3 linked regions of the Arabidopsis thaliana genome follow. The protein of the gene in region 3 binds, or shares a complex with, the protein of the main gene of each other region. Each region holds a gene or a part of one and is shown on either strand. Other genes may lie near its edges. The genes, in order: VRN2, FAS1 and MSI1.

Region 1 (8,100 bases), on a different chromosome or scaffold from region 3:
TGGGAAACTCAAAACAGAGTCGACGATATTATGCTTCTAGAGACTGTAGTCTTGTATAAGACCTGTGTAATAGTGAAAGCACCAAACTTTAAAACAGAGAACCCAAACTAGTTTAGAGAACAAACAATGTTGACCAAAATGTTAAGACTTTATCTACATAGCCCAGAGTATATAGATTTCCAACAAGTTCGAGTTACTTGAAGAAATATGAGAAATTTGATGGTATGTTTTGTCAAATTTTAAAGCAAATTATGTGATCCTTTGAACCAAAAATGTGCATTGCGAAATCAAACAATTCGAGAATCAACTAGAAGCAATGAATCCAGAACTATGTTTTATTACCTAAACCATCAATCTTTTAACAAAAACGTAAATTCCGATTTCCGATCTACTGCTAAATCCCAACTCTTACGAGAGAACGGGAATAATTATGTTAGTCAATTTTATCACTTGACTCCGATCTAGTTTGAAATCGAGACAAACCTGAAAGATTCGAAAACACTGATTGGTGGTGTCAAAGCAAAATCGAAGAAGCTTGCTGCTTGTGAGGGATTCATTGAGAAAGAACAAGTCAAAATGGGGTTTTAAGCTTAATCACTGTGTCTTAATTAATTTCTTGATTTGTTTTCAATCTATTTGCACTTAATATATATATTTTTATGTTATGTACTTGATTAATATATAACTCCTATTTACTAGAGGTCTAGAGGAGCTTTTTCTCAAGTCAAAAAGAAAAATTAAGGAAACTTATCTTATTTTTCAGTCTTTAGTTATTAAGGAGAATCCATTTTTTTAACTAAAAATGTAATCAGTTGAATACACTAACAAATAAAATCTTTGTTTGCTCCTAAACAATTTTTTTAAGAAAGAAGAATAAGTTACAATCCGATAGATCGGTATCATCTAAACCGGAGTGTTTCCTATTTAATTACTTGTCTCTGCTGTTATTGTCCTTGTTGTCAACATTGTTCTTGTTTTTTATGTCATTCGGATGATCCACAATGTTATTGTTGTTGGTGTTTGAGTCACTGGGATGATCCACACTGTTGTTGTTGTTGTTAGTGACTGAGGTATTACGGCAATTCTCGAGGATGGTATTGCAGTTGTTGATGGTGGCTGAGTCGACAAGTCCATGGTTCCATAGTTTAATCAAAAACAATCTCCAACACCTGGAATTTTTTATTTTTCTTTCAGAAAAACGAAACAAAATTGATAGTGTAGTTATGTGTCTGTATATGTTTGGTGTACTTATATTACCAGAAGAGTGATGAGTAACAGTGCAACTCTTTCTCGTAAAATCTTGAAAATACTTCACATGCCCAAGAGATATGACCATCTGCTATAACCCTGCAAACATCAATCATAATTTGAGCTCAAAGTTCCATAAGCAGAATCATTTAGACAGGTATGGAATGTAAGACATAAGGTCTTTTTGTGTGTGTTCAAGTGTAAGAGAAGTAGTTACCTTTGTTTTCTTACAAACGAGTTCCAAAGATGCATGAATTGCTTTTCATCTTTATTCACATCCACAAAGTCATCAAGCATCTGCAGCTTTTTTAAGTTTCAAAAGCCATTAGCAAGTTACATCGTATACCATTTTCTGTTGCCTACTTAATGAACGCAGAAAGAAATCATGGAATACCTGGCGATCTTCAAAATCTGCAACATCGTCATCGACTTCATCCTCGCTATCCCGATCAGACATTACTTGCTCAAGCGCCATTGGCTTGTCACAAGAAACATGCAGTTTTTGGTTAGTGGCAATAAAACGGAGACAACATGGACATAATTTTTTTGCGTTGATACATACAGAATCAAAATACAAATTTAGATGAGAACAAACCAAGTATGCTTTGATAAGATATCATCATGAGCAATTTAAAGAAAATGCCTAAGAAGTAGGTGAAGGAACTTGGATCACCTGGACTCTGTGAGAATGATAGAATTGGCGTTTCTGAAGAAGTAGGTGGCTGGAAGAAATTTTCTCGGTTAATATGGCAGTACAGTAAACACTTATCCATAATAGGAAGAACATTTGTAACAACAGGTATGGTAATTATGATGACGGGGTGTCATGATGAACAAACCTTCTAGCCTCTGATCGCTCAGCAGATAACTTTCTTGTCTTAGTAGCAGGGACCACAGCTTCGGTTGTTAATATAACTTTAGCACCAGCGTCCAGAGAAGAGTGGGCTATGGCTGGTGGAATGTTGCTAGTCATCTCAAATTGTCCAGCAAGCTCTGTTGCCTCGGGATATCCTAAACCACGGTTTCCTGTAGCATGCCATTAATTTTGTACATCAGTTCTGGTAACATTACCCTCACAAGAAGAATGCGAGGAGAAGTACAAAAACTAAACAATCAGGACATTGTATCTTCTTCTGTAAAATGAAGTTCTAAGCCACAACGAATACCACAGAAGAAGATGTGATTTTACCATCATTCAGCAGGGCAATTCCATTTTCTGTGCCATTAGCTAAACTGGGTGAATCCAACGGTAAAAAGCATACTTTAAGTCTCCTGGTGTTATTTCTGCCACCTCTTTGTCTACGCTTACGAGGTTTCGAGCTGCAAAACATTGTGGTTGGATTTATAGAGAAGTACTGACAAGAAAAGCAAGGAGTTACTGCTATTAAGGTATTTAATCAAGGGGTTCTGAGAGTTACCAGAGAGAGAAGGGCTCAAATTTATCATCATCACTTCCTTCTTCCTAGTACAAATAAGGATGGAATATAAACCAAATTTTCACCAGCTATAGGATTTCCCAATTAACCAAGTTTAAAGTAACTGACCTCAAATATGAAGGAATTAAGTTTTACAGAAACATTAACTGTCTGGTATTCTTCCAAAAGCTACAATAGGAAAGACCCTTTTTTAACTATAACCTCATTACTAACGGCATAGGCAAAACAAGAAATTCCATAAAACCACATACCTTGAACTCAAATTCAAATAAATCATGAGATGAATTCAAATGAAATTGCAGCCCCTGCATAGACACAAGACAATGGATTGTAAGCTCGAACTGGAACATGTTTTCTCAGATAAGCACACACTCAGCAGTTTAAAAAGAGCAAGAAGACAAACAACAAACACAAAAATATGTAACCAAACAGTGAAAGTATATAGCATTAAACGGCAGTAGCATTTCACAGTGTTAGATATGAAAGGCCCCGGAAGAAACCTCAGTTGTAATAGTTGCCCACCTTGAAGCTACCACATAGCATAGAGCAAAATGGACAAGAACAATCCTCCCTAACTGCGTGACAATACAGAAAAAAATAGTAAATAACAAATCATCTAGAGAAACATAGACATTGACATCGAATTTTGTCGAAGAACAGAAAAAGACTAACCTTCAGTTCTTTGTAATGTATTATTACAATCCTTATAGTTGAAAACTACCATCCCAGTAGATCTTGACCTAAGCAAAACACAATTTTGTAAAATATAAGTGTATAGCATGAACAAAGAAGAAACCATTCATTATGTCCATATCTACTCAACAAAGATAAATAGTTCATCAGCTTCCATATTAGAAGTAAGATAAATAACATATCACTGTGGCAACTACATTCAAGAAGAAACGCATACTTTCTTTTGCGCTTTGCCCCAATTTTGTAGTTCAAGCATCTTGGCAGAAACGATGGCTGCAACAACAAACAACAAGTTCAAATAACATTAGGAGACAAAAGAAGCACACACTCGCCATGAGTCAGACCATAATCAGCTTAGCAAACTCAAACTATTAGTGGGTGATCTACACAGGAGATGAAAGATTACTAAGCTAAAATGATGAGAGAGGAAGGCCAAATCATACGTTGCCTAGAGAGCGAAGGTGAAAGATGTTATATAGTCGAACAGGTTTACAATATATCAAGAGATTCTCATCAGTTGAAATCACTTCCTCCGGTGAGGATTTCGCGCGACAATTCTGCCTACACATTCTTGTTCAAATACAATCAACAACGTCCAGAGCTGATTATGAAGTTAGTGCAAACTCTGAGGCCTCCCCTAAATTAGAATTTCCCTACGTCATATTGTTCAACTCCATGCAACAATTAGAACCGCCTCTTCTGCAATATGCTTATATAGAATGTCTTGTATTGAGGCCTGTGTAATAAAGAAAGCACAAGACTTTTTAAGCAACTCAGAGAGTTCATTCAAGACATAGACAAGTTTAGACGTATTGCAAAAATGAAAACTTTATCCAATGCCACTTAGCAGAATCATCATACTTATCAAATTAAAATAAAATTATGTGATCTTTTGAACCAAATGTGTATGAAGAAATCTTAAAAAAAATTCCATCGAGATCAACGATTCCAGAACTAGAATACGATTCCGGATCTACTGCAAAATTTCAAATCTTACAATATAATTGAAACAATTAGGGTTATCAATTGTTATTACTTGACTCCGATTTAATTTGAGATTGAGACAAACCTGAAAGCTGCGAAAACACCGATTGGCCGTGTAAGAGAGAGAGCAAGCAAAATTGAAGAAGCTTGATTGGGAGATATTCACTGAGAAAGAAAACAAGTAAAAATAAAACTTTGGGTTTCAAGTTTTTCTTCAAGTCTGGGCCTATGGCCCATATTTTAAACCGATAACCATTTAACACGTATTATTATTAGTCAATAAATAGTTGAACTTTTTTTTTAATTAATAAAATGAAAAGAAAATACAAGCAACTTGGACAGCTTAATGCCTTAATCCACTAATATTTCTAAAATTGTTTTTTTAACTCTACCATGGCAGTACAGTGAGTATTAGAGGATTTAAAACCATATTCACCATTGATCTATGCGTGGAGGATGAAGAAATTAAGAATCATTGATCTATACTTTTCACACTAAGAATAGAATCTTCATGACCTTCAATTTTGATTTCCATTTGTGTTTTACATAAATAGTCAGAGTTTAAAATAAATTACTGAATATGTATTTTGATTCCATTGTTTAACTCTAGTTGAGTTGGCTAGCTGAAACTCACAGGAACATATAATCCTAAGGTGGCATTAAGTTGAAACTAATCTTTTTTTCGACCAATAGAATGATTAATGGATAACCATCAGTGTTTTCTACTTGAGTTGTGTGATGTATATCACTGAAATATTAAACATACATTTCATGAAAACGAGAGATCCTTTTGTGTGTCTACAGAACCAAAAATTACAAATACGAATGGTTTGCGGCACAAAATCACCGGCGGTAAAAGAATTGTTTCCTTTCCCAAAACTGAATATGAGTTCCCATGGAGACAAGACAACATGTTGCTTTTGGAACTCAACTCCTTAACGCTGCTGACAAATTCCAAATCCATCACCGATTTAGTATTATATGAACAAATTGAAACCATAATTCAACACAAGATTCTAACGTTGCAGAGACATCTCGATCCTCATATCCATATGAGTCTTTGTAAAATCCCTAATTAAGTTTCACAGATCAATTATGGATTCATAGAGATTGAAACAATTTCTCGGCTTACCTGAGTAAGAGGAGAGCCAGAGGATTGCGACACAGAGAAGAAGAATGAGAGGAATCAAATGGATGACGTTTTCTGAAAATCTGAATCTTGATTTCTCTCTCTTCCCCGCTTGAGAATTCGGATCGTACCTAGGCAAAAGCAGCTCCACATCATCTTCCATTGCTGTAACACTCTGAGATCGAGGCGGAGACCTTGAAGTCGCCGGAAAATGATCCAAAACTCTAGAACCACTCGCTGATCTACGCATCTCTCTTCTTAACGGCAACTTGTCAAGTCAAAGGTCGAAACTTTACCACACAATAACGCATATAAATACAGTCAGGTTTGACCAATGAGAGAGTCAAAGCTCTTCTCTTTTCACCAGTAATCGCCACAAGAGCAAGACCCATCTTTGAAATGGTGAAACCTTGTGGTGTCTCTTACAATGATCTCTCGTTTCTCTATCTCCGAGATAAATTTGATTGCTTTATGACAATCACCACAGATTCTCAAGTTCTTGAACACTTGTATCTGTGAACCTTGAGGGAGTTTTATGCAACCAAATGCAACAGCTAACTTCTCGCTGTGCCATAACAATAGCTTCTCTTTTTGCTCTTCCTCTACATTGTGTAAAGCAAACTCTAGTTCCGGTTTGTATCCAGCTAGTTTCATCTTCTTCTCCAACTCCTTCAGTTTCTTGTGTATTGAGTCTAGTTCAGGGTGAATCCGATCACTTGATCTGAAATGGTGAACTTTGTTTCGTATTTCGATCCAACTGTATCCAGGTACCTGAAACAGTCAAGTAAATACATTAGAGTCTTGTAACTCGAATAAAGAATCGAACTTTGACTCGCTCTACCTTCACAACATTGCTCTCTTTCATTCTCTTGCGAACCCTTGCAACGTCTTCCCAACGATTCTTCGATGCGTAGATATTCGCAAGCTGCACATACCCGGCTGCATTTTGCGAGTTTAGCTGAAGCAGTTTCTCAGCTGCAAATTCAGCCAATTCCACATTCTTGTGCACTCTACAAGCCCCTAAGAGCGTCCCAAAGACCGCAGCATGAGGTCTAAACGGCATTGATCTTATCAGTTTCAATGCCTCCTCCAGCTTCCCAGCCCGACCCAAAAGATCAACCATACACGTGTAATGATCAGGCTGCGGTTCTACCTTATAATCTCTCACCATCGATTCGAAATATGCCATCCCAATATTCACTAGTCCAGCATGGTTACAGGCCAGTAAAACCGCAACAAACGTTATCCAATCCGGTCTGATCTTGTTATCTATCATCTCACGGAACAAACACAGAGCCTTATCCGCATTACCGTGCTGAGCATACCCGGAAATCATTGCGTTCCACGCCACAACATCTTTCTTCTTCATCACCTCAAAGAGCTTCCAAGCATCACCAAGTTCTCCACATTTGCAGTACATACTGATCAGAGACGTCAATGCTGTTACATCATTACACAATGTAGATTTACTCACTATCTGATGTATTTGCCTCCCTAATTGTAACGCCGATAATTCACTGCATCCGAGCAATGCGCTGCTTAGTCCAGACGAGTTAGGCCTAATTCCTTCCTCAAGCATAGCTCTGAAAAGCTTCAATCCATCTTCTGGCCTAGAATTTTCAACATAACCAGAGATCATAGCATTCCAAGTTACAAGATTTTTATTCACTGTCATGTCTTTGAACATTGCCTCAGCTAATTCAACCTTCTTGGCTTTCATGTACCCTGTGATCATCGCCGTCCAAGCCACGACGCCTCTAACTGGAGCCACTTTGAAGAAATGTGATGCCTTTTCCAAATCTCCGCATTCAATGTATCCAGAGATCATGGCATTCCAAGAAACTTCATTCTTCTCCATCATGGAGTAGAACAATTCCCGCGCTTTCTCCATTTCACCTCTTCGTGCATACCCTGTGATCATCGTGTTCCATGACGCCGCATCCTTGAATGGCATCCGATCGAAGAAGCTCTGTGCCTTCTCGAAGTTAACATTACGAACGTAGCAAGACAACATAATGTTATAAGAGAAAGTATCTGGTTCAGGGATTTCGTCGAACAGTTGGTGTGCTTCCATCATTCTGCTTGGATCTTTAGAAATCCCAATGAGCAGAGAATTCCAGGTAATGGTGTTCTTAGCTCTCATTCCGTGAAACACTCTAAGAGCTCCATCTATATCTCCTGAACGTACACACCTAGCTATTATCTTGTTCAACGGAAAAATCTGGTCTTGATCAGAAGGTTTAGTCAAGTAATCGGAACGAACCAGAGATGGCTCTGGCGATGAACAAGAGGAAGACGAACATGATTCCACCAAAATGGTATCTGGGTTTCCAATGGAACGCAAAAAGAATCGAAATTTACAGCGTTTAAATGGCTGATGAATGTTGAAGCGAGAAAGCATTTTACATGGTTTACGACAGAACACAAAAAAATGTTTAAATCCTACAGAATCATTGGTATATGTAATAGCAACCACGTTATTCGACAATCATTCATAAGTCATAACTCATGTCAAATTATTACTGATTCTAAAACATCTATGAACACGATCACGAATGAGAAAAGAGGAGACAGAGTAAAGACTCAAACCCGATAACATTAGATATGTCC
Region 2 (8,100 bases), on a different chromosome or scaffold from region 3:
AAGTCATCTTCACTATCATCTTCATCATCAGCCTTTGAACATCCTTCTTCCAAACTTTCGTCTTCATCTTTCTCACAATCTGAAAGGCTTTCACCAGCTTCTTCCTGTAAAGAAGTATCTTTATTACCCAGTGATCTTTTGTCAAGTTTAAAAAGCATGTACTGAATTCAATAAACCTACCTCTTCCCATTCTTCATCACTATCAACTTCATAATCCAATTCTGGATCCTTTTGCAGAGGACGACGTGGCTTTACAACTTGACTGCAAATGTTAAACAACAGATCCCTCAGTACCATTGTAAGCAAACTTAGAGAGTGAACACTACTTAATTGAACAGCTAGATGCATATCAGAATAACAAATGGTATTGTCGTATCAGAATCACAGAGAACGTTCTGTACATTACAAGTTCACTACAATGATTGTTCAATCCAAATTGAAATGCATTGGACGATAATAACCACAGATCCAACATAGACGATGGTTAGTTAATTAAGGAATCAGAACAGGGTAAAGTAGCGTAAAAGTATGTTTACTTCATAGGTCATTTATCATCTGCTTTATTAAACACCATGAAAAAAGTAGTCACATAGGCAGCATCGGAAAACTTTATGACTTATGCAGTGAAAATTGAAAAATGTTTCGCAACAAAGCTAATATCAAAAAACAGTACCAAACAAACCCAGGGGAAAGCTTGCAGTTAGTCAAGGCTTTTTGGCTAACTAATAATCTATATTATATAAGCTTACTGCTGAAATGAAAATTTTCAAAATAATTACTAACCTTTGGCTGGGCCAGATACCATAAAAGCCTGGTCTGCAGCTTTTATCAAATTGTAACAACTGCTTGACCCTCCTGGACTTCTTACGATTAGATGAGGAAGGCTTACACTGCCTACCATCAAAGTTATTCTCTTCACATCCATCCCCTTGCTTCTCCATGTTAGGTTCACCGTCAGATGTTACTCCACTATTTGTAGATAGTTTTAGTTTTGGAAACAGTTCACTCTTAGGCTGCCTACGCATCCCCCAATGTTTTTTCGAACTCGAGAGCAAATGACCCAACTGACGCCAGGAAGCAAAGTGTTCCCTACAAAGAAATACAACTCAGATCACAATACCCAAAGTGACACCTCACAGAATCAATCAACAAGGAGAACCAATGTCATACCTGCGAATATCATCAACTGTAGCTTCACAAGTTGTTGAAAAGGCGTTGTCAATTGCCTGAACAACTTTTCCAATTTCATTCTCATGTTTTGTACATGACAGCTCCTGAGCAGTTACTTCACTGGAAGGAAGTTTGGGTTGGGTCAATGAACTATCTTTGCTCTTTTTAAGAAACCGTTCCATGATTGAAGCTTGTTTCTGTACTTGAAGTTGCTTCTTTAGCTCGGCTTGTTCCTTCTCTCTACGCTTCTGCTCCTTCTCCGACTCATCTTGCTGTTTCTTTATCCGTTTTCTTGACTCTGTCTCTTCTTTTTCTTTATTATTTTCATCAACAATTGCTTTCTGCAGTAGCTTCTGCTCTTTTTCCTGTCACAGTGAACAAATGCTCAGTCAGAAGTCAGACTTTGAAATCAAACAACACATCCTAGATGACTAAAAGAGAATAAACAGCGCCAGAAAAGACTTCTAGAAGACAATGAAGAAAAAGATCAGCTTACTTGTTGCAATTTTTCTTTCAATACTTGACGTTCCATTCTCTTCTTCTCCTTCTCAGCTTCACATCTATTTTTCTCCAATTGTTTAAGAAGCAGCTTCTCTTCTCTCTTTGAGTCTTTCTCAGCCCTTAACGATCAAACACAATAACTGAGTAAGAATGAAAAACAAGAGATAAAATGTAAACCAAGTACTAACAGAAGATACTTACATTTCTGAGCTGTTCTTCTGCATCATGTTATCCATGAATGATCGAATATCCACCTCACTCAGTATTTTACCAAGCTTCTCAGCAGCTTTACTCAAATCAGATCTCCACAACTTTTCAGTTTCTTCTCTTTGTAATGCAGCTAACATTGCTGAAACACAACATAGGGCATAAACACTCACATCTTATAAACAAACAATCAATACGAATCACCACTAAAAACAACATTTACCAGAAACTGCTGTAATCCTTTCATGAATCTTCTTTCGACAAGTCCGGCGAAGTTTTAACACTCCACGAACGGAACTCGGCATGATTTTCAGATCTCTCGTCTACAACATCAAATAAACATTACATCTCAAACATTAAATGACATCACCAAAGAGTATAAACCACACCAAACTTACCATTAGATTCAAAGATCAAAACTTGTAAGATTAGCAAACTAAGATTACCTCCCAGCACCAAAGACAAGATTCAGAATCATCCTCCAAAACATCAGCATCTACGTTAAGCACACCGTAACTAACTCTCTGACCAACAGAAACAACAGCACTCTTCACAGCTACCATAGTAACACTTTCAGTCTTCTCCTTCAATTTCAAGTAAATCTCATCTACAAGCTTCGACAACGGCAAACTCATTTCCTCCATTAACAAAGCCACCATCGAATTCAATGAGGAACATTCACTAAATCCAGAAAACAGATCTGTTCTCTTACTCTTATCCATAACTTCTCTGAAATAATCAAAAAGCCCTTTCATCTCTAGATTCAACGACGAGATCTGAGATTCTTTCTCCTCAGATGTTAGATTCTCAATCGCCGTGGGTTCTCTCTTCCGCTTATTCAGCTTCTTTGGCTCTATCATCGTCTTCCGATTCTCATTTTCATTCACCGTCGAAACTTCGTCCATCGCAAAAAAAAAAACTAGAAAAATTCGGGAATCTATAAACCCAGGAAAATTGAAACAAGATCTAGAATCTAAGAAATCGATTGCGAGAAACACGAGCTGAGTGGAGATTTGTTGTTCCTTTCGTGATTTTGATTTTGGATTTTTTTTTTCTCAGAGTTCTTAGGTTTTTGGAGAAGAAGAAGAAGAAGGGAGTGGGAAGATGGATAGGTTTGAAAAAAAAAAAGGATAAAAAAATAAAATTGGGGATTCACTAAAAAGAAGGGTCGTTGATTTTCCCGCCAAGGTTTTGACGGGTGGATTTGCCTCCAAATGACAAAAATGCAATTTTACTGTTTGGCGCCACTCAAGTTTTGGAGAAGATGAAGGCCTATGTGGGCCTGCTTTTGTTTCTTTTAAGCCCAATATAGTGGGGGAAACAATTGGGATGACATATAAATAGAGACTAGAATTTACTAATTTTAAATACTCATGCGGATGCGGTTATATAAATAGAGACTAGAAATTACTCATTTTAATTTTAATTTTAAGCCTAATACGGTCATGGTGAGCAAGAGCTCCGAATGAAACCGAATAATACTTTGGATACGATTTATGAACGAGGTAAGAAAGTGAAAGGAAATGAAGATTTGTAGCAAGAAAAGGGAGGGAGAGAAGATGGTGAGGTTTTTGTTCACTGAGCATATGTTGTTGACTGACCATATGAGGGAATCAATTGATGATGAATGATGTGGTAGTAGTGCGTGTTAATTTGTCGTTAGAAAAATGTTTGAATTATAATTCTTCGCTTTAATTTTCTTCTAAAAGATACTAACAGTCATACTAATTAAGAATGAGTAATTGGTTGGACAATTCAATAAGCAAACAAAGTGAGTTATTAAATGGCTAGTGTTTTTATTTGCGGCATTGTACTAAACGAAATAACAAAACAAAATAGAGAGATGATTTTCTGTAATTGTAAAAATAGGAGAAACCAATGAACTGACGTTTTATTCAGTGTTCACTTTTCAGTAATAGGAATCAGATAAAGAATATTTCTTTTATTTTCAAAATTTTTTAAAAATATCCCAAAAAGGGTGATAAGATTTGGTGGCCATTAAAAATGCTACTTTTATGTGTGAGCTTTTTGTATTCATTCCCACGAGGCTACCCTCACGGCTCAAGCATCTCTCGTCATGCTTCTGACGTTCTTCATCTCCCTTTGGATATGCCATTTGCATGATATGATACATTATACATTGATAGCTTCATACTAAATAATGCGTTTTAAAGGCTTAATAACAAATTAGTATAATGTAAAATGCTATTTGAATTTATTCTGTATATAATGTTTTTGAAAAACTTAGGAAATAGTGATGCATTGCAACAAATTATACTAGAAAATATCATGCTTATACCATTTATGGTGACGGCATAAAAAACTTGTGCAGTTGGAACCTTAAAAACGATATTTACGTAAATTATGACACTAAATGGTGCGTTTAAACGATTAAACGTTTATATTTATTGCAATACATCACTATATTGCAACAAATTATCTAAAATATCCAACCTATGCTATTATTCATAATGGCGGCATAAAACTTGTGCAATTAGACCCTTTTAAATATTCTAAGTAATTACGTCAAAAAAAAAAAAATTACACTAGATATTTGTTTTCATTGAAAAAGATCACAAACTCAACGTCAACACAGGATGGTCTAAATTAATCAACGTGGAGATGAAAGTTAAGAGCTATTTTAAAGGCACAAATTTTTATGTTAAAGACTTTTGTTCCTAACATTCATTTCCACTTCCAATATAAGATAATTCTAACATTAAAAACTTATGGTGAAAAAATATTTTTTAAAAATTTTATCTGATTTGGGGTTCAAAAATATTATAAATAAAAATTCCATAATTTCTAACGAACATTTGCTGAACAAAAATCTATTACTTATTGAACCAAAAAAAAAATATGCTATTTTTCTCATTGAAAATCTCATTGTTTTTAACCTCTCTTCGAATTACATTCGTATGAATCACAAAAGTTTATATTTAGGAGCAGTCAATAATTTATTTATTCCATTTATATTATCATCGTTAAATAAAATGTTGACAACCAACAACAAATTCAATCGGAATCAGTTCGACTGAAATTATGTTTAATTTCTTAAAGATCAAAAGTCCAAAGAAGAGATGATGAATTGAAGTTTATCAAGAATAATGAGATCTTTCTTGTTGTTAAAGATAATGAGATCTTTCACATTATTGAGAGAGTATGAAGATAGATACGTTGATGATAGTGAAGTGAGACATCTTGGCCAACATTAGAAGAAGATTCCATAAAGGATTGGATGAGTGCAAAGTATCGAGACGTCTCTACTTGGTTGCGTTTCTTCTATTTTTATATTCGATTGTTTTACACTACTTCCTATTTTTATATTCGTTTTTACATACTTCCTATTTCCAAACGTTTTTTAAAATTTATTTATTAATTTCTCCTCCACATGATTTTCCTTTTGGTCTTATTCTTATTTCTTTCGCTCCATGTCAAGAAAATATGAACTAAATAACCCAAAGACTATCATTTTATTTGTAACAATAATAAGTGGAAACATCGTAAACTGACGGTTTCGTTAATGTTTTTGAGCTTTTATAAAAATAACATTAATTTTGTATTTATTAAATAAATATAATTATATATCTTTCCGATGACATGGTAAATTGCATGATATTATATTATTTATTTAAATTTATATATACGAAAAACGTAACTTTCTTACGGTTTTCTCAGGGCAATTTTTTCCCTAGTTTTTTAAAATATAATGTTATTTTAAAGTAATCCTTTTAGAACAAGGATGCTCAATTTTTGACTAGATCCACGTAGGAAGTAGAGAAGAAAAGAAAAATTTGAGGCCCAAGTTCAGGAACTGTTGATATTTTTTAGCCACCAACTTCACAAGAGATATAAACACACACACACATGGGAACAAGACGACTGAACAAATAAGAATTCTTTTAAGAAATAGAGTACGACAAAAACGTGAGACGCAAAAAAAAAAAAAAAAAACTTGTAATATTCTATGATTTCTCATGAACCGAATTTATTCAGTTGCTATGATGATTTTGAGGGTCACTTTTAATAGAAAGGATTGTGGGGGTTCACTATCTTTTAGGTTCTTCTACATTTTAGTGTTCGTAACAAGCACTTATGTGTGTTAAGTCTTATAAAGTTAGTTAGATAATTGTAAGTTGTTAGCTTCACATAATTAATTTTATCGATGTTACTAATACCCCACATTTTTTGCGAATCTAAGTTGCAGAAAATAATTGACGTAGTTTACACATTTAACTTCATAAGTAAATAAAATATGATGGAGAGATGAAATTTAATTCAAATTTGTAGCACAAGATCTTTTGGAGAACTCACAACAAGTTTAGATTTAGTTTTAGGCAACGAGATTTGGGGTTAAGGTATAGGGGTTAAGCATATTAATTTATTTGGAGTTTTAACTCAAAATCAAATAGTAAAGAATGGATTGACCATAATTAAGTATTTTTCCATCTATCTATATGGGGCTCCACATGCCTTAAGAGATCGTGGTTTTTTAGATTTTTTTTTTAAAACTCATCATAATGTACTTCTAAATCTCGACAAAATGAAATCAAGCTTTTGTTGGACATTCAGTTCCGGACAATCGGACTGCATTCAAATAACTTGTTTTCGGACTTGGATATGATGTTAAGTATCATATATTCATATGCGTCCAACTAAATATCAATTGACAAAAATTGGATTGACACATATCTCTTATATACTAGTGTTTCTTTTTAAAACTTTCAATGTGGGATCTTATTAAAAGAAATCCTCTTCTCAAAACTTTATAAACTTTCATTAGACTAATTATAAGCTAAACTATCTAAAATCTCTTACATATTATTTGAGAAGTCGCAATTTTTTTTGTCATCTCACTTTATTGAGTAAAGAATAATATCAAACATAAAACAAGTTAATCTAAGACTTGCAGATAATAAACCAACATGGGAAGATAATTGAAGGATTATCTTCTAGCTTAGAGAACATGTGTCGCAATTAATTTGATGACAAAGGGCACTCATGAGGATATGATTTAGAAATGTCATCGAATACTGACGATCGATTTTTTCGAGTCCGATGAATTACAATTCACAGAGGTAAAGAAATCTGCTTTTGAATCACCGATTCTTCTAACTTCTATTCAGATGATAGGTTAAATGAAGAAGAAGAAAAAAAGAGAAGAAAATCTATCAAGATCCCTTATGCTAGCCCAAAATCACATCAAGTTTTTCACATAATGAGATTTAGCAAAAACTTGTAAACGTAGGTTTGCCGGATCTCTTGTTCCTCATCCACTTGCCAATCTTCGTAATCCAAAAGGTAAATATCTATGTTTAATTATCTTCTAGATTTTAAGGCACAACGGATTGATCGTTCTATATTGTATGCACGATTGAAGAAGTTGTTTAAGAAGCACAAACATTTGACTATCGGCTTTAACACCTTTTTGTCACTTGGAGATAAGATATTTCTTCATGGTGACGCAGAAGCCTCTACTAGCTCCACCGCAAAAGACTATTGAAATTTCTTATCATGGTCATTACACCAATGATACTATCAAAATCTCTAAACTAATCTCTATGTTCAGTTTTTGATGGTTTATTATCAAGTATGTGTCTTTGTAATTATCTTCTCTTCTAAGATTGAATCATCACAATGTTTTTGAATTATTTGATTTTCATTGAATATTTCAACCAACCAAAATGTTTTCGTTCTAGAAATAAAGTCCTAAAGTGACGTACATTCGTTTTCTAATGAAAATGCTATTTCATAAGTTATTCCTTTCATTTTTTTTGGGTCGTCAAAACATAAGTTAATATTCTTTTTTTATTTGACTAAAACTACTTTTCCAAAATTTTCACCGGGGAAACCTTCTCAAAGCTTTATGAGCTTAAACATATGCAAAGTGTCTCATTAACTTAAATAAATATAGAGTACAATTAATTTGTTCACAACGTTTTTAATAGGAAACTTAGAATATGTTCTGTGATGCACTATATGTTGCTTCGTAAGGAAATTGCATGCGAAAATCTAGTGGAAGAAATTTAGTTAAACGGCAAAAATCTTCAATTAATCGTTTCCTTTATCTACATTACCAAAAGGTTGCGAACATTATGCGACATATGGTGGTTAGAACTTAATACACTAATGTTTTTCAAAGATGCTATTTGTGGAGTTGATAAAGACAAAACATATTTGAAGAAAATAATTTTAAACATGTAGTGTTTAGGAACATCACGG
Region 3 (8,100 bases):
GCTGAACCTGCAAGTAACCGGGAAGACGATCTTATCTAGTATTCGTTGTCAGAGAAAGGTAAGTTCCTTATACGATCCAACATTTTGTCTCTACTTTACAAGTTAGAAGGATTGATTTTTGAGTGTTTTGATTGCTGCAGATGTCGTCTACTTGTTCTTCGTACGCATTTGGGCCGTACAAAATCGATCCCCGTGAAGTGTTCTACGCAACGCCTCTCTCTTATGCCATGGTTAATCTCCGTCCGCTTCTTCCTGGTATGCCTCATTCCTCTCTAATTATTCATCGAACCTCTTCAACTTTCTTCTGACCTTCTTTTTCATCTATTTTTTGCAGGTCATATCCTTCTTTTTTTTGTGTGTTCTTCATTTTTCGGTTTTGTTTTGTAAATTGAGTTCTATTGGATGACTTTAACCAGACGAGCACATGTTCTTGTCTGCCCGAGACGCCTTGTGCCACGATTTACTGATCTTACAGCTGATGAGACCAGTGACCTGTGGCTTACTGCTCAGAAGGTTGGCTCTAAGCTTGAGACCTTCCATAATGCGTCTTCTCTCACATTAGCCATCCAAGTAAACTAAACATCTCCTTTCTTTCGTCATTGTTTCTTGCGTCTAAATCTTAATGGATTGGAATTGAAACGATCTAACTTTGGTTTCATGAAAATGGCTTAGGATGGCCCTCAAGCGGGACAGACTGTTCCCCATGTACACATTCATATCTTGCCTCGTAAAGGTGGTGACTTTGAGAAGAATGATGAAATCTATGATGCTGTAAGTTGTTGCATTTTGATCACATTCCTAGCTTTGGTTTTATACAAATCTTATGGTGGTATCTTCTTGTAGCTTGATGAGAAGGAGAAGGAACTGAAGCAGAAGCTTGATCTAGATAAAGACCGGGTTGATAGGAGCATTCAGGAGATGGCTGACGAGGCTTCCCAATACAGATCTCTTTTCGATTGCTAGTTATCATTTATCAATATCAAATCAAACCAAGCTATCCAGTAGCTTTAATAAGGACCATTGTGACAAGTGACTTTCAGTTTGAAATTTTATGTCAGAGACTTTGATTCAAATTTGTAATTTCTTTCTAATGTCGCCCAATCTGGGTATAAACTAAGAGTTATAGCTTTGGTTGACACTACTTAGTGAGATTAGAATCAACTCCTTCATGTTATAAAGAAAAATTCCCACTTGCTACCATCCTCTCATGCCTCATTTTACACAATGAACACTAAATACTTGAACTAAACAATAGCAGAGATGTATAAATAAATACTGTCCCATAAGATCAGTGCGCTTTGGATACTAAATAACAAGCTAAGAAGCTTTTGATGGTTCTTCCCCTGGAGCGTCATCCTCATCATGATAGATGTTTTCAGCCATTTGCCATATTTGGAGTATGTTGTCCTCAGCAACACTGGAAATAACCCAATCTTCACAAGGGTTCCACGAGAAATCTGAAATTTTGCTAGTGTGACCACCGTGAATAAACAGCAGCTCAGGTGGGCCGTCTTCTGCGTCCTCCACTGTCTGTTCCTCATCGATCCTATCATAAGACACCCTCAAACATATCAATATTGCTCCTCCATGACCATACATGAACATTAAACTAAAGAACTAAAGTCTACGGCCCAAACCTGCTAAGGTCCCAAACCATAAGTCTTCTACCAAGGCAACATGAAGCTAAAATAGTCTCGTTCTTTGGGTTCCAACCAACTTGAAAAACCTCCTCTCTGGAGATCAAGCACATAATTAAGGTTAGTGATGTTGCTGTAACTTGTAAATACTTCTTAGTAACACAAAATCCATCTCAAAGCGGCAATATTTATGGCGTATCATTCTTACTTGTGGCTATCAAATGTGTGAAGAGCGGTGCTTAGCTTCCGTAGATCGAATAATTTAACAGTCTTGTCAGTTGATCCTGTTGCCACAACCCACTCATTAAATGGATTGAAGGCTAAGCAGTTAACCTAAGGCATTTCAAACAACTCAACAATTAGCAAATACATACGAGGCAATATGATTCAATGGTTTTTAGTGTTAAGGAAAGCAAGCTTAAAAACCAGAAGTATTATCTGTATCTAAAGCTAATATATTGCAAACTCACCTCCATCGAATGAGCAACCACAGACTGTACTGGTTTACTGGCAGATGGAGAACGCAGATCCCATATGAGAAGGTATTGGTCATCTCCAACTGATCCAAACAGGTACTCATGTCTCAGATGCCATGCAACATCTTCCACAACCCCTTCATGAGCCTTAAGTTCAGAAAATAATCATCAGCAAGGAAAACACAGAAACCAACCTGAATATCTATCTATGAGCTTTCATAAGTGTAACTGATTCCGTTAAGTGGGTGCAATTCCTTCCTTTCTAGATGATACAAAACAAAACTAAAAACGAATAGAAATCCAAAGCATTACCTTAAAAATCTGCTGAGCGTCCAGAGATTTGTTTTTAGGAGTAGCGTTAATATCCCACAAGCAGATCTGAGCATCATCAGAGCCACTAAGCAAATGACCCTGCTTGAACTTACTCCAAGAGAGACCATATCCCTCAGAGCTGTGACCTCTAAGCTTTAAATCAGGATTACAAGCCCCATCAAGAGGAGGCTTAGATGGATGCTTACTGTAATCGAAAACATAGACCTCCGCATTAACTGTCTTGGTAGCAATTATGAAAGGGTTTTGAGGCATATAGCGAGCTCGATTAACCTCACCATCATGATTTATCTGCTGGATAATTTGTACCTACACAAGCAATCAAACTAACATTTATCATCCTTTACCTCGTTATAACCCTAGAATCAAATCTAGAAAGTTGGAAATGAGAAACAAAAATAAAAAATCGCACCTTTCCAGTTGCACAGCCAAAGCCACCAAATTCAGAGCGGTCATCATCGTACTGACGAGCTTCACTCTCGGTATCGTCAAGAGGAAGCTGAACTTGGGCTAGCATCAAGTAATTGGGCTCGCTCTCGGAGGTATGGGTACCGAGAATCATCTTCTGAACGGAGTAGTCTTTACCGGAAGGTTCTTCACGGTCAGGAAGCCATTCAACAGTAAGTGAAGGCCACTCGAGAGCGTGAGTAATAACGAGATCGTAGAGGAAAGGAGTGTTCTTCTTCCAGATCTTGTACTCTTCATTGATTAGTCGCTCCTCGATCTCACCTCGCATTTCCTCTTCGTCTTTCCCCATATCGGCGATGTCTTTGTTATTCCCGCCACAAGAACAAGGCAAAACCCTAAAACAGATCTCTTTACAAATTGTAAGAAACTTCTCGCTTCTGTTTCTGAATAATTCACATATAGAAGATGATGAATAAAAAAAGGAAGAAGATAAAGAAAAGGCCCATTTTTGAAAAGCCCGTTTATGAAAAGGCCCAATTAGATGACTTTTGATCTTACACCAGTCAACAGAAGTGAGGATTGGAGAAAAGAGAGAAAAAATGGCGATGGAGATCGGAGAAGATGAATGGAAGGTTTGCTGTGGAAGCTCCGAATTCGCGAAGCAGATGTCTACGTCTGGACCGTTAACTTCTCAAGAAGCAATATATACTGCAAGAGACATCTGGTTCAACCAAGTTAATGTGACAGATTGGCTTGAAGCTTTCTCTGCTCATCCTCAGATTGGGAATACTCCTTCACCTTCTATCAACTCCGATTTTGCTCGTCGGAGCGTATCAGAACAGTCAACCGCCTTTGCCACAACTTCTGCTTCTGCTTTACAGGTGATGGATCTTCACTTTTTTTTTCCTTCATCTCTTCAGTGATTTCTTCTTCTGATGATCAATTGTTTTCAATTTCTTAGGAGCTTGCCGAATGGAATGTACTTTACAAAAAGAAGTTTGGCTTTATCTTCATTATTTGCGCTTCTGGCAGGACTCACGCTGAGATGCTCCATGCGTTAAAGGTCAACTTTTGCATTTCCAAATCAGTTTTTGTTGAGTGTGAGTGAATGAGAAAGTTACATATTCATCAAATCGTCTCTTTTTCAGGAAAGGTATGAAAATAGGCCAATAGTGGAGCTTGAGATTGCTGCTATGGAACAAATGAAAATAACAGAGCTACGAATGGCAAAGCTGTTCTCCGATAAGGCTAAAGTTATATCAGAAACTGACAGCTCTAGCTCTCCTGTTTCAACAAAACCTCAAGGTATATTGATGATTTACCAAATCTTTTCCTTGTCAAAGTTTTGTGTTTGACTGTGTGGGTTTGAACCTGTTAGGATTCAGTATGATATCAAGTATGTGTCTTTTGGAATACAAGGATTTACCCTTATGGCTATCTTTGTTATCTGTGTGACCTTTTCTACTTTCTCGCTTTGTAAGATCGTCTGAGAATCATTGGAGGGCATTTGAATGTTGCAGCTGAAGCAAAAGCTCCCAAGAGAAGTAGGCCACCGATCACGACTCATGTCTTAGACGTCTCACGTGGTGCTCCAGCTGCAGGTGTTGAAGTGCACTTAGAAGTGTGGAGTGGTACTACCGGTCCTTCCTTTGTTCATGGAGGTGGTGGGGTCTGGTCCAGTGTGGGCACATCAGCTACTGATAGAGATGGGCGCAGTGGGCCACTGATGGATTTGGTTGACGCTTTGAATCCAGGGACATATAGGATTAGCTTCGACACTGCAAAGTATTCCCCAGGCTGCTTCTTTCCCTATGTTTCCATTGTATTTCAGGTTACAGAATCACAGAAATGGGAGCATTTCCATGTCCCACTGTTGCTTGCACCTTTTTCTTTCTCCACATACCGTGGGAGCTAGAGCTATGCTACTGCTGTCTGCGGCACCAACTTTCCAACACATTTTGTTTTGGTTGTACCACTACGGGAACATGTATCAAAATTGCTATGAAATGAAGTCTTTATTCGACATGTATAAAAATTGCTATGAAATAATGTCTATTCGAGTATTTATTTGGATTTGTAGTTCTGTAGAACAAACAATGAATTAGCGAAAATACGAGCTTTGATCTAGACTCATTGTGAGTAGGACAACGATAGTATAGATTACCATGTTAAACATCTTGGGAGATTCTATACCTTTGTACAAAATGGTCGATCACAAAACAAGCCTCTAAAACTGTTGTGTGTTTTAATCTAGACTCATAGCCAGCAGGACAATAATAGTCTAGATTAAGACATCTTGGTCGATTCCAAACCTTTGCGCAAAATGTCAAAACAAAACAGCTTCTACTGGTATACTTTACACACCTCTACCTACCCTTCCTGAGCGTGTCTAAAGCTCCCTGGCTATATCTACCCTCATCTCCAAAAGTTCGCAAATTCTTTCGCAAATGACATTATGTTGCTCCACGAACTTGACCTTTCTTTCACCTCACCAGTTTCCGTCTCTTTCACCTCACCGGCTCCTGTCTCTGAAATTTGTCTGTAAAAACAAAAGATATAAGAATTCAAACTGAAGTGGTGCCAATATGATCAACTTGAATGACTTTTTCTATTACTCAAAAACAAGAGATCCATCAATGAAGTAAATTATCCTAATATAAGGATCGGACCAGTAAAGAAGAGACCTAGTTGTATGCATTTGATACCTGGTCTCAGTAGGCACAACATCTGCTGAAACATCAGCTCCTTCAAGATGGTCTGCTTTTGACTCTTGATTGCCTAAGTGCGTCAAGTTCCTCTCTTCATCAGTCTCCGAGTTTTCTATTCCCTGAGTTGCCTCTGTTTCTCTTTTGTCATCTTTTGCAGTAATGACAAGGTTGTTGCCCTGGAAATTACTTTCATCATCAGAATTAGAGTGAGAAGTATCTATTATATCCGGCCTCTGCTCACTTCCTATCTCAATATCCACACTGCCAGCCTGTGAAACAGAAACAAGGATAACTAAGCCAATTGATAACTGAAGCCTAAGGAAATTAAACTGATCACACCAAAGCAAGATTTTTTCTTTACTTGAAACTCAGGTTCAACAACCACAGGAGAGAAGTGTGAGGAAGCATCATCTGGTACAGAGGGAGAGACTTCTGAGAGGGTTTTAGCTTCTACGATTGGCACAGGTGCTGGAGAGAAGTGTGAGGAAGTATCAGCTGGTACAGAAGGAGAGACTACTGAGAGGGCTTCTGCTTCTACGATTGGCACAGGTGCTGGAGAGAAGTGCGAGGAAGTATCAGCTGGTACGGAAGGAGAGACTTCTGAGAGGGCTTTAGCTTCTACGATTGGCACAGGTGATGGAGACAAGTGTGAGGAAGCATCAGCTGGTACAGAAGGAGAGACTTCTGAGAGGGCTTTAGCTTCAACGGTTGGCACAGGTGCTGGAGAGGAGTGTGAGGAAGCATCACCTGGTACAGAAGAAGAGACTTCTGAGAGGGCTTTAGCTACGATTGGCATATGTGCTTTTGGTTTGAGTTTCAGCTCTTGAAAGATGTCCCTGACAATGTAATAAGAGCCTCCCACTTGCTTGTGAGTAGCATCCAATGAAGGGAATCTACCAGCATTAGTTGCTCTGTATCTGCAAACAAACAGTACCTATGTTCAGGACCTTGAGATTCATACAGCTGCACATATTGCTATCTAGTTGACATGTGAACCTCTACAGAATATGGGAAAACTAATCGATGGAGAAAGAATTACTCGTTGACAAAGGACTCCACCAAAGCTCGCCGATCATCTTTTGAGAGTCTTTTGGGAATTTTAGATGTTGTTAAAGATTCGCAAACAGCAGGAGAGCCATAGAACCTTGCAAGCCGTTTAACATCAGTTTTGAAAACAGCATTTCTGCGAGTAGCAGACACTGCAAAATGACATCAAGGTTGGAAAAAAAAACATTCAGCAAACAAGTTTCAGACATTGAAAGGAAACATGAGTAAAAAGGGTTTAGCTTTGTTACAGGTAAATTGTTTCAGCTGCTTCAGAATCATCACTGCACTCGAGAGTATGCTACTTCTACGTCACTGCGAACAACTCCACCCAACAATTCCATAACTAGCTAAACATCACAATAAACATCGATTTGGATTCCAAGTAAAACCTTAGAAAACCCCCAGAGAAAAAGCGATAAATATCAGAAATTTACAGAAAATAACCAGTCGCTACTCTCTGTTGGTCGGAAAATAGAGAATTGGAGTTTGAGAGAGACGCGAAAAACACGGCGCCGACCGGAGAGCGATTAAGAAGGAAGAACAACAAGTAGGGTTCTAAAACACGGCGCCGACCGGAGTTTGTTCTCCCAAATTCTTTTACCAAATAATTTCGTAAATAATTTTCCCTACTATTAATTTAATAGCTATGCTTTCTAAAAGGGACTTGTTCGCCAAGACAAATGTATAATTAGTTATTACAGTCTTGTCCCGAATTAATTGTTTAAATTTCAAATCAGGTTACATCTTCAAACAAAGTATTTTCCTCCACAATCTTAGCCATACTTCCATTTACATGTACCCAAATTTCTGCTATTTTCTTGATTTTCCCATCTAAAATCTCCACCAATGTGAAAGCTCTTGTTGTGCCACCACTCTCAGACTCTGCTGCTCCTCTTTTCTTTGCCTCTTTAACCCTTGGAACTATTGCACCGTTCACATACACAGTCTGGTTGTCACTATCTTGCACTACCATTTTCCGATTTCCTTTCCCCCGTTGCAGCTCCTTATGCATGTGCCCAAACACAACTAAAGGAATCGACAACTTAGTCGTCTCCTTCAACTGTCGTATCGCCTGCTCTAGATCTGAAACATTACAATGAGATTTCACCAAACTAACTACAATCAGCATTTTGGAGTCTAAAACATGGGAAATGCTACTGATGCCGAATTGAAAAGATGGTAAATTATTTCACCTGGATCACCATGGTCACCGCCTTCAGCCCCCCAGTCTTTTCCACATATATCCTCTGCTTGCCAACCAAGACCTGCAAAGAAAACCGCTACTTAATATTTATATGTTAAACCTGATTGGCGTAAGACTAGACCAATAAGAAAGGTTTAAAGGTTGATGCACCTGTTGGCCCATTGTGAGCGAGAATTATAGCCACGTGATCTTCCGGTGTTCCATGTGCAGCTCGACAAATACTCCCAGCACTGGCTTCCATATCATGAACTCCATACCTAGAAAAATATAAAAGTGTCAATGACTGGTAG

What was found.
Region 1: MSI1 (region 3) and VRN2 share a complex: the UniProt entries of both Arabidopsis thaliana proteins name them as parts of the plant homeodomain / polycomb repressive complex.
Region 2: MSI1 (region 3) and FAS1 share a complex: the UniProt entries of both Arabidopsis thaliana proteins name them as parts of the chromatin assembly factor 1 (CAF-1) complex.

The regions. Positions count from the first base shown.
Region 1 is NC_003075.7:9,472,554-9,480,653, reverse strand, and holds VRN2 (VEFS-Box of polycomb protein), read right to left. Parts: upstream 4,586-8,100; 5' UTR 4,447-4,585; intron 4,114-4,446; 5' UTR 3,947-4,113; coding exon 3,821-3,946; exon of another isoform or gene 3,651-3,820; coding exon 3,595-3,650; intron 3,425-3,594; coding exon 3,357-3,424; intron 3,260-3,356; coding exon 3,207-3,259; coding exon of another isoform or gene 3,185-3,206; intron 2,990-3,184; coding exon 2,936-2,989; intron 2,853-2,935; coding exon 2,793-2,852; intron 2,711-2,792; coding exon 2,667-2,710; intron 2,569-2,666; coding exon 2,438-2,568; intron 2,275-2,437; coding exon 2,088-2,274; intron 1,971-2,087; coding exon 1,922-1,970; intron 1,727-1,921; coding exon 1,643-1,726; intron 1,546-1,642; coding exon 1,466-1,545; intron 1,348-1,465; coding exon 1,258-1,347; intron 1,170-1,257; coding exon 929-1,169; 3' UTR 776-928; downstream 1-775. Other genes in the region: AT4G16840 (uncharacterized protein), read right to left, coding at 5,289-5,305, 5,494-5,740; AT4G16835 (Tetratricopeptide repeat (TPR)-like superfamily protein), read right to left, coding at 5,851-6,261, 6,332-7,891. UniProt on the Arabidopsis thaliana protein: Polycomb group (PcG) protein. Plays a central role in vernalization by maintaining repressed the homeotic gene FLC, a floral repressor, after a cold treatment.
Region 2 is NC_003070.9:24,321,097-24,329,196, forward strand, and holds the start of FAS1 (chromatin assembly factor-1 (FASCIATA1) (FAS1)), read right to left. Parts: upstream 2,996-8,100; 5' UTR 2,784-2,995; coding exon 2,325-2,783; intron 2,202-2,324; coding exon 2,102-2,201; intron 2,021-2,101; coding exon 1,873-2,020; intron 1,791-1,872; coding exon 1,667-1,790; intron 1,536-1,666; coding exon 1,171-1,535; intron 1,090-1,170; coding exon 784-1,089; intron 263-783; coding exon 181-262; intron 105-180; coding exon 1-104. UniProt on the Arabidopsis thaliana protein: Component of the chromatin assembly factor complex (CAF-1) involved in chromatin assembly following DNA replication and DNA repair. Assembles histone octamers onto replicating DNA in vitro.
Region 3 is NC_003076.8:23,551,212-23,559,311, reverse strand, and holds MSI1 (Transducin/WD40 repeat-like superfamily protein), read right to left. Parts: upstream 3,301-8,100; 5' UTR 3,201-3,300; coding exon 2,856-3,200; intron 2,753-2,855; coding exon 2,426-2,752; intron 2,261-2,425; coding exon 2,108-2,260; intron 1,971-2,107; coding exon 1,846-1,970; intron 1,734-1,845; coding exon 1,638-1,733; intron 1,547-1,637; coding exon 1,318-1,546; 3' UTR 1,067-1,317; downstream 1-1,066. Other genes in the region: FHIT (FRAGILE HISTIDINE TRIAD), read left to right, coding at 1-58, 141-255, 422-570, 673-771, 844-963; TTL (transthyretin-like protein), read left to right, coding at 3,451-3,732, 3,813-3,914, 4,000-4,156, 4,333-4,766; AT5G58210 (hydroxyproline-rich glycoprotein family protein), read right to left, coding at 5,267-5,390, 5,557-5,828, 5,921-6,476, 6,599-6,758, 6,855-6,885; AT5G58200 (Calcineurin-like metallo-phosphoesterase superfamily protein), read right to left, coding at 7,340-7,689, 7,800-7,871, 7,961-8,067. UniProt on the Arabidopsis thaliana protein: Core histone-binding subunit that may target chromatin assembly factors, chromatin remodeling factors and histone deacetylases to their histone substrates in a manner that is regulated by nucleosomal DNA.